Bombyx mori: one gene and its partners. The protein of the gene in region 1 interacts with the protein of each later gene in a pairwise test. Links are inferred from orthologs where the notes say so. Each region holds a gene or a part of one and is shown on either strand. Other genes may lie near its edges.

Region 1 (2,875 bases):
TTTTTTTTATCATAAAAAAAAATGATTATCTGTTAAAAGTTATTGTATAGAAAAATTGAATTCATGTTTATATCACATACAGCCTTGCGATTCTCGTATCTCGTATTTAGGGTTGTATTTTAAATGTTTATTTTATATGGAGCGTGATTTTATTACTTGTTATGTGTGTATGATATTTTAGCATGCGATGTGTGCAACAGCAAATGTATAACAAAACATTGAAATGTTGGGGTATTTGTTTTTTTTTCGTTTGGGGAAAACCGATGTTCTTATGTTGTCAACATTAATTTTGTTGATGAGTACAGAAAGTAATTGTAACCCTGTTGTTAATTCTGAATTCTTGTAAATGTTATATTTAAAAAGGATACTGTCTTCGGGAGGTTTGTTTTCGGCAGAGTCCATGCCAGGCAGGGCAGCAGCTACTCTTCGGAATAACTGAAAAAGTTAAAAAAGTTTTAAAATTAACCATACTCTTTTTGAGGGTATTGAAGCGGGACGTGCGAGAGAGACGGCGAGATGTTTTTTTTTTTTTCTCCTACCTATGCTGATAGCCATGAGAGGCTATTTTAGCTTCACCCTATAAGTGAGCTCACCGGGCTCAAGCCTAGCAAGAGCCGTGCTTCGCAGAATCTACTACCGGATCGGAAACGCGACCCACTCAGAAGTTCCGGCGGAAACTCAGTGGGCTGTGTCTGTGGGTTAATTTACTCGTCGAGCCCTTTGTCGCAAGCGACGGGTTCGACGAGAGCGATGACCGGTGCTTGAGATACTTAAAAGGACCGTTAGTGGATCGGGAAATGCGCACGTACTATTCCTTATATACATAAACTAGTTTTTGCCCGCGACTCCGTCCGCGTGGAATAGTTATTTTGGCATAACGCTAAATTTTACTCCCACTTCCTTTACGTAGAAAGTGAAAATATTTTTGAATTATAGAATGTTATGGAGCTATTTAAGCCCCTATTTTGAAACATTCTTTATTGGTGCTCCACTTGTATTGGTCTTACCGTGATTTTATATAGCCTATAGCCTTCCTCAATAAATAGGTTATCTAACACTGAAAGAATTTTTAATATCGGACCAGTAGTTCCTAAGATTAGCGCGTTGAAACAAACAAACTCTTCAGCTTTATAATATTAGTATAGATTATAATTTCTAATTGATTCTACAACTGATATATAAGTCGATTTTAATTTTTTTTTTAATTTGCTTTAAGTTTTTATTTAGACCGGATCACGCAAGCCTTGTTGATTACATAGAACGGTGCTCCAAATCAAACAAAGCTACAGTATTTCGTTATAGTTGCCCAGCTCGGACCTTTATCTCTGGCATATTTGAGTCTCATATAGTAAACTTTTTGTAGCAAGTTGTGATCCGGTGATTCAAAAATCTAAGAACCAATCCGTCGACATATTACCTTACTGAACTTTTTTTTATGATTAAAAGATGAATACTGGCCCGGAGGCCTTTATAGTTTCACCAGGACAGATGGGCGAGCAAGGGCTCAGCCAGGAGGGGTGAAATTTGCTAACCAATTTGAGTTGAAAATTGCTACCCAGGCTGATTTTCAGGTTAGGTTGCACGTCGTACTCTTTGCCGAGTACGGTTATCGGAGTTCCTGCTCCTAATGCTAAAGCTACAGGCGTCCAATGCAACGGTTATTGGATCTGATGGATCCGTAAGGACATGCGCCTTACTGCACGCAATGTTACCAGAGATATTGCCAGTTTCACGCAACTATTGTACCCTAATGTAAAAGCGTTAATATAATACCTGTTTAACATTGTAACCAGCTTTGGCGCTTGTCTCTATGAACATCACGTTCAGTTCCTTGGCCTTCTTGTCGCCTTCCTCGGTCGAGACCTGCCTCTTGTCCGAGAGATCGGTCTTGTTGCCGACCAACATGATGATGACGTCAGAACCACGCTCCGTGCGAACGTCGTCGATCCATTTCGAAGTCTGGTGGAATGAGTTCGCGTCTGAAAATTGATAACCAATATTATAGCTTAGTCAGTGATACGTCTGTGGATAATGGAGCTCTTGGGTTTTCGGTAATGCACAATCTTCTTTCACTATTTGAGCTCACTCTCTTAATTTCGGAGGTCGGTAAGTTTTTAAGGTCACGGACTACTTAAACGATAAATTGTAAAATGAATTATTGAAATAAAATATTTTTTCTTCCTTCTTCTTCTTTATATTTTCATTTATTATTTCTGTTTCTTTATCTTATACCTTTAAACGAGCAATTCTTGTATATTAATATACTAGATGATGACCGAGCTTTGTTCGGTTTTTTTTTTGATAACGCCATCTTGTTGTCTTTAAAGCGGTTAGTATAGTATTATTATTCGCCAATAGATGTCGGGAATAGTTGATTATTAAAAAAACGAATAAAACAACATTTTCTGAAAATAAATCGTAGCTAGATCGATTTATCGCCCCCGAAATCCCCTGTATACTAAATTTTATGAAAATCGTTGGAGCCGTTTCCGAGATTCAGATTATATATATTAATATACAAGAATTGCTCGTTTAAAGGTATAAGAAAGAAAATGTTGTTTTATTCGTGTTTTCAATAATCAACTCTTCCCGACATCTATTGGCACATAATAATACTATTTTTTCTTAATTAAGGGCAACTAGCCGCTTCAAAGACACAACAAGATGGCGTTATCAAAAAAAACCGAGCAAAGCTCGGTCATCATCTAGTGTACATAATATGATCATACAGCTATAATAATAATACGTACATTGGTAATAGGTTTTTGTAAGCTTTCCCCTTCTATGACTCTGTAGCTTTCTACATATTTGGCTGAACGAAAGCTACTCAATAAGTTAATGTCGACTTTGTCAAGTAATATTTATATCACTTTAA
Region 2 (3,673 bases), on another chromosome or scaffold:
CGCGGGCCCACTCGCGACGGGACTGCTCCAACTCTTCCTATACCGATATTCGTATATAAGATTGAAGAAAAAGTTTCAACGCATTTTTTAAGAAAATTTACAACATTTTTTAATATAGTTTATTTAATTATGGTGGAAATCTGAAGGTGCAAGGTCAAGACTATACGGCGGATACATTAACACCTCCCAGCCAAGCTCTTTTAATTTTTGCTGAGTGGCTAACAATGTGTGAGGTCGAGAGTCTGGAGTCTTATCATCATGAAAAACCACACCCCTTCTGTTGATTAATTCCGGCCGCTTTCTCTCAACTTCTTGCTTTAATCTCATCAGTTGTTCACAGTAGAGTTCAGAATCGATGGACCTGCCTGGTGGTAACACCTCATAATGAACAATGCCCTTATTATAATTTAAGCAGATAAATAGATTTAAATTACCATCGTGTATTTTGAAGATTTCGTGAATAATGACGTCATTATTCAATGTTCTATTATTATTTAACCAATTAAAAAGGCTACTGCACGGATTTCAGTTTAGTTGATCAGCTGCCGTTCTAAAGTCTCTTTATCAAGCAAAAGAAATTAAACAGCTAACGCGCAAATTGATGATGGCAAGGATAATGTTGTAACCGCATGGGTGGCCGATAGCTCCCCCTTGCCTTATCTAAATGTTATATTGTACATTCAGATTTATATGGTGTAGTGACATTAAGTAATAATAAAAATTTTTAATAACCTATAGCTGTAAACAATATTATTACTAAAATATACTGATAATAATACTTACCATCAGCTCATCGAGCCTGTCTTGGGCTCTTTCAGCAGCTGCTAGTTGTGTCCGCAGTTCGCTCACATGTTTTTCAGCTAAGTCGCGTTCGTTTGCAGCCCTTACAGCCTCGGCTTGGGCCGCACGAGCTACAGCTTGAGCTGCTGCTGCTTCTTCACCTATTGGAATACATGTTTAGTTGGCAACTATTATGATGAATCGAAAAACTTTGTTTTCATGATTACTTGCTTGAAACTATTGCTGTAAAACAATACACCATAAATGTTTTTTTTTTATAATCTCCTAACTACAACTTGCTCTACAAAAAATAGAATTTATCATAACACAATGCTTATTACAAGGTTACTTACCTTGAACTGTTGCTAGAGACAACTTCAATTCTTCAATTTTTTGTTCCCAATAAGTATCCCTTTCTCTTAATTTATTTTCTAGCTGTACAGAATACTGTTGCTGTAATGCTGCTTGGTCTATCTGGCCCCCAGTACGTTCCGACAAGTATGTTTCCATTTGCGGAGAGATGGACTGAATACATAAAATTAATAATTTAAACAATATTATTTTTACACTGTCAGAGAATTCAATATATATTTTAAGGTGGTCAACATCTACATAGCTTTTAAATAAAATTTAACTTAATAAAAATTTTCTACTTACTTAATTTAATTTTTTTACTTCATTTAATATGAAAAATTGTAGCAAGATTGGAAAAAAATAAAAATATTTTCAGGATGTATGGTTTTTGGGAAACATTTCCTAATCGAAAATGGTTGTAGCATACAGCTGTAGAAGTAATTCATGATTTTTTTTAAATTTATGATAGTCTTAAATGTCTGATTTATATTTATAGAGCCCTGAAACATGTTTTCTATTATTTATATATTGTAACTATAGACACTAAAACTTTAAACTTACATCAGCCGGTGAGTCTCCAAGACCACCAGAGCTCGAGGGGCTGGTTGCTGACTAAAAATTAAACAAGTTGTTAATAGTGGGATTTTATGTCAAAAATGAGAAATTATGATTTAAATACACGAGTTTAAGTTTCGGTGTATTCAAGACACATGTTTAAAAATTTAGTTTTATTTTTGTCATCATCACAAGGATGACTTTTTTGTAAAAGGCTACAAAATATGCAATTTTAAAGACTAGAGTTGAACTTAGTCCCACTAATCACCTTCATCAATCAATGAGGCAGCTGATGATGGATCTCCATCATCTGATAAAACTAATTATACACTTATACTAGTGTCATTAAAATTTAAAAAATACTAATGCAATGTATGAAAACCAGCTACTCAAATGTGATCACCAACAGTTCAGATATGTGTTAAGTTAATTCTCAGCTAAGATTTGAGTAGGATGAGCTCACTCAGCTCAGTGAGGTGACTTAAATATTGTACTACAACTAGCTTGTAATGCCTGAATGAAGAGGTGAAAGCGACCTTCGAGTATGGGAAACAGGTCTGCAGATGAAAATCTATAAAACTTAAATGTCTTAATTAAATGTCAGGCACACATTTCGTTTTATTTATTATTATTATATAAAACTTAATGCATTTTAAGCAATAGTGCATTTTACATCTTACCGAATCATCTCTGAGTGATATTCTTCCTAAAAAGCCACCACTTCTCCAACTACTGGTCAATTTACTGATGTCACTTCCTGTTTCCTCTTTTATTTTACTTTTTAAACTCGCAAACATTATAACTTGCGAAATGTCTAACTGTAAACGAACAAAAAGATAATAACTTACTGGTAAAATGGTAATTTCTGTAGTTAAGTTCGATAACTTACCAAGTACTATATTTTTGACTACCTAACTGATAAAATTACGACACGTCAATCTGGCTAACGTCCGATCTCGAAGCGTGGTACATATTAAGCTTCAGAACGAATTGTGAATAAGATAAAATTTATATTCTAATTTTCATGAAATTTTTTGTTAGCCAGGTAGCTTTTTCACAAAACATTGCAATGAAATTGACATTTGTTGACAATTGGCAGTTGACTGAGTTTTTTTTAAGTGATTTACGACCTGGTAACTAAGACCTTAAGTCATGTCTTATTTTAATTTATATTCTTATTTTTATGAAAAATGCTAATAGGGAGTGAAATGAAATGAAAATGATTAATTTGAGACATTAATGTCATTGATTGAACATTGATTAATCAACTGGGATGAAATTAAATGAAATGAGATGATATGGGATGAAATATAATCTTAGTAAAATGGTGGTCATTTACTAAGATCTTTTCAGTGGACTTTTTGGAGGATCCCGAGAAGTTACGTCCAGCGGCTTTGTTACATTTTCCCACATTTGTGCACTTTCACAGATATTAAACAATTAATAAACCACCATTATTACACATTTAAACCCGAAGAAACACTAAATAGACAAAATAGAACAAATCACACAACTTCACTTCTCGCGTTCCCGCCAAAAAGTCTGCTGTTAGCAAATAGCACATTTTACATAGATTATATACTTAATATTTGAGCATTTATACGCTAAACATAAAATTCTTTATTACTGCCAACTTCTCATAAGTAATAGAAAGATATACTGTCATATATTTATGTCTGCACGGTGCTTACCTAGAATAGCATAATACCCTCTTTCCATAAGTGTTGTAACAGGCTATTAATTCACCCGAAAATGAGCAGTAGAATTATTTGATGCAATTGCTAAACGGCATTTACTTGTGTTAGGGCATATTTTTGGAACCCTGTAGGATATAAATTTTTAACAGAGCTTATGTTAAATGTATTATTTATTTAATTAATCGAGATCTAACTTCGACTAGTAGCAGTAGATAACGTACCTGCTGGTGTCAAACGATGGGTACTAATCCTTACTTCAAAAGATAGGACACAAGATTACGATTGAG
Region 3 (3,281 bases), on another chromosome or scaffold:
ATGAGTCGATTTGTTTGTCTTTAATACCATTTGTCTATAGTGTAGCGTTGGCAAAATTTGTGATTATAGAAATAATAAAGTCTTTGAAGATAGAACCAAAATCATTTTCAAACGTATATTTTAAACTATTAGCTGACCCGGCAGACTTCGTAGTGCCTTAATATATAAATAAAAGACCTAAACTTTTGTATAAAATAAACTTAAAACAAACAAAAGGAATCCGTCCGACGGGGGACACATCAAAGGAAAAACAAAATTGTTATTTTCATTTAATTCCGAGTATTTTCATATTTATCTACCTTTTAAACCTTCTCTGGACTTCCACAAATAATTCAAGACCAAAATTAGCCAAATCGATCCAGCCGTTCTCGAGTTTTAGCGAGACTAACGAACAGCAATTCATTTTTATATATATAGAGATTAATAGTTATGGTAGAATTTCGAGTGCCGGGCGATCACTAGTATTAATTAATTATGCAAGTTCATATTACGAAATGGGAGGCAACGCGTCAGTGATACTCAGTCTCAAACAAAAACCGACTTTTATTCTTAAATTAAAACAATAAAACACAACACAGTAATGAAAAATATTTTATTTATTTTTAATTTATATTATACAGCCGTTTTAATGGAATGTTAACTATGAATACGGTACTCAAGTTCAACCCCAACACTATCCACTACTATATGTTTTAATCAAATAATGTTTAAGATATATGAAATACTTATTAATCTCACTCAATTCTACAAGGTGATCGCTCCCGCGGTGTGCATCTTCCATGAATACTACTTGCTAATTATTTTCAATTAAAATAAAGGCAATAGTGTAGTCTAGACTACCGGGTGGGGATCGCATTACCCGGCTGGGGATCGCATTACCCGGCTGGGGATCGCATTACCCGGCTGGGGATCGCATTACCCGGCTGGGGATCGCATTACCCGGCTGGGGATCGCATTACCCGGATGGGGGTCGCATTACGCGGATAGGGATCGTAGTACCCTGGTATATAGGAAGCGAAATCTGCGACCCTTCGCGACACCCAGGGGCGGAGTGGGGCTGCGGTAGCACACCACACCACCCAATTATGAATCACTTGTTATCCTCTTAAATTATACTTGTATCATAATTCTAGTTGTTTCTTGTATACACACATATACATATAAATTACATAGCATTAGTGTTGTTTAATTAAAATGTATTTACCTGATATATAATACTTTTTAGGGTTTGTATTATTTATTAGATTCTACAGAACGCTTAACGAAGGTAGCTCATGGTTAATGAGGTGTTTAGTGAAAGCCCGCCCGCCCCCCTATCAAGATATGAGGTCTGAGACTCTAATTGATCAGTGATATATTAAACCCATAAAACCTATACGCATTACTGCTTCGCGGCAGATATAGGTGCTGTCTGATGATGATTCTAATTTGAATTATTGTGGACTCTCTCTTATACACGACTAGGACGTCGACATGGCTCACGTAGTGGGTCGCGCGAAGCCGGTGGCTATTCCCAAAGGACTATTACAATTTGTCGAAGTTTCTCGAAGTTGATTTAAAAAATAAGATAAAACGAATACCGACAGTGACGCTTCTAAAGTATTCAGTGTGACGGCCCGTCCGATCCTAAGTGGTCACTCAAATTTACAAAGTAGACAGCACGGAGTGACGTTCGGCGTTAGTGAAATGCAACACGGCGGCTATAGCGTTTAGCATGTGCCTCTTGCCGGCGTAGTCCGTGGACATCAAGTAAGCGAGCACAACGTTCTTCAAATACTCTAAATTTGCACCTTCACGGGATTGCGTTCTTCTTAATCTGAAAATTAATTTTAACAGTTAGCGAAATCGTTACATGCCTTGTGTTACTGGCGACCTCACGTCTCAAGCACATCACAAGCACGTGCGGTTCGGTAAACGCTTAACATCAGAGGAACCACCTCGTTTGCCGACAAGAACTCATGTTTATTTCTTCTTTAGTGACGCTTAGTGTAGATTCGGCTTTATTCGTATGATACAGCATTGAATCAGTAATGCAATTTGCGGTTAGCGTTGATAATGTCGCAGTACATTGCTGCCCATTACTCCGAGAGCTAGAGTCGAATCGAGAGTCGTCGTCGTGGCCTAACGGATAAGACGTCCGGTGCATTCGTGTGTAACGATGCACCGGTGTTCGAATCTCACGCGGGTACCAATTTTTCTTATGAAATGCGTACTTAACAAATGTTCACAATTGACTTCCATGGTGAAGGAATAACATCGTGTAATAAAAATGAAACCTGTAAAATTATAAGTTGCGAAATTACTGGTGGTAAGATCTCTTATGAGTCTGCACGGGTAGGTTGCCTGTCTATTTCTGCCGTGAAGCAGTAATGCATTTCGATTTGAAGGGTGGGGCAGCCGTTGTACTGTTAAAACTGAGATCTTAGAACTCATGTCTCAAAGTGGGTAGCGCCATTTACGATGTAGATTTCTACAGGCCCCGGTAACAATTTAACACCAGGTGGGCTGTGAGCTCGTCCACCCATCTAAGCAATAAAAAAAAACGTGTCAGAGCTGATGCGAGGGAGAATATCTGATATTACCTGTCAATCTCCTCTTTCAGCGCTCTGACGACTTCTTTGAAGCGCTCTTTCTCTATGGTCGCGTCTCGTTGGCAGTCTCTGAAAAGTAGATTTATTTTATTTTATTTTGCTCACCAGCTCGATGGCACTATAATATTATGCCTACGTCTGAATTACGTGCCCTTTCAAGGTCTAACATGTAAGCTAATTCACTAAGCAACTTGAGACATCGACCTCATGTACCACGTCCTTCCTATTCTGGCATCGGTGTTCCTGTCACCTGACCTGCATATTATTATTGTTATGGCGGCACGAGTAACGCCATCTGCCATCAAGTACCGAAAACTGTTTTTTTTTTTCCTACCTATGCTGATAAGCTTGGGATGCTATTTCAGCTTCGCCCTAACGTGTGTAGGTGGGCTCACGGGGCTCAAACCGGAGTGTTGCTAACACTGACTCTAGCAAGAGCCATGCTTCGCAGAATCTACCACCGGATCGGAAACGCGACCCACTGAGAAAATCCGGCGAGAAATTCAGTGGGCTGTGTCTATGGGTTAGTTCGCTCGTCGAGCCCTTCGCCGCAAGTGACGGGTTCGACGAGGACGGTGACCGGTGCTTGTGGTGCCTAAAAGCACCGTTAATGGATCGGGAGAATCCGTAATGACGTGCTTTGGGCGACGTCGACTGTTTACCATTCGATCTACAGGGTCGGGTATGTAG

What was found.
Region 2: the proteins of ras small monomeric GTPase Rab6 (region 1) and golgin subfamily A member 1 interact in a two-hybrid assay, tested with the Drosophila melanogaster proteins (2 studies listed by BioGRID). The link is inferred for Bombyx mori from reciprocal best matches to the Drosophila melanogaster genes Rab6 and Golgin97.
Region 3: the proteins of ras small monomeric GTPase Rab6 (region 1) and GRIP and coiled-coil domain-containing protein 1 interact in a two-hybrid assay, tested with the Drosophila melanogaster proteins (2 studies listed by BioGRID). The link is inferred for Bombyx mori from reciprocal best matches to the Drosophila melanogaster genes Rab6 and GCC88.

Annotation. Positions count from the first base shown.
Region 1 is NC_085111.1:16,071,133-16,074,007, reverse strand, and holds part of ras small monomeric GTPase Rab6, read right to left. Parts: intron 1,980-2,875; coding exon 1,774-1,979; intron 436-1,773; coding exon 369-435; intron 1-368. UniProt on the Drosophila melanogaster protein: Protein transport. Regulator of membrane traffic from the Golgi apparatus towards the endoplasmic reticulum (ER). Mediates membrane trafficking during egg chamber growth and organization, possibly upstream of exocyst component Sec5.
Region 2 is NC_085110.1:6,838,351-6,842,023, forward strand, and holds the start of golgin subfamily A member 1, read right to left. Parts: upstream 2,815-3,673; 5' UTR 2,579-2,814; intron 2,508-2,578; 5' UTR 2,487-2,507; coding exon 2,370-2,486; intron 1,747-2,369; coding exon 1,696-1,746; intron 1,306-1,695; coding exon 1,134-1,305; intron 942-1,133; coding exon 784-941; intron 38-783; coding exon 1-37.
Region 3 is NC_085118.1:16,474,715-16,477,995, forward strand, and holds the end of GRIP and coiled-coil domain-containing protein 1, read right to left. Parts: intron 2,661-3,281; coding exon 2,583-2,660; intron 1,817-2,582; coding exon 1,645-1,816; 3' UTR 578-1,644; downstream 1-577.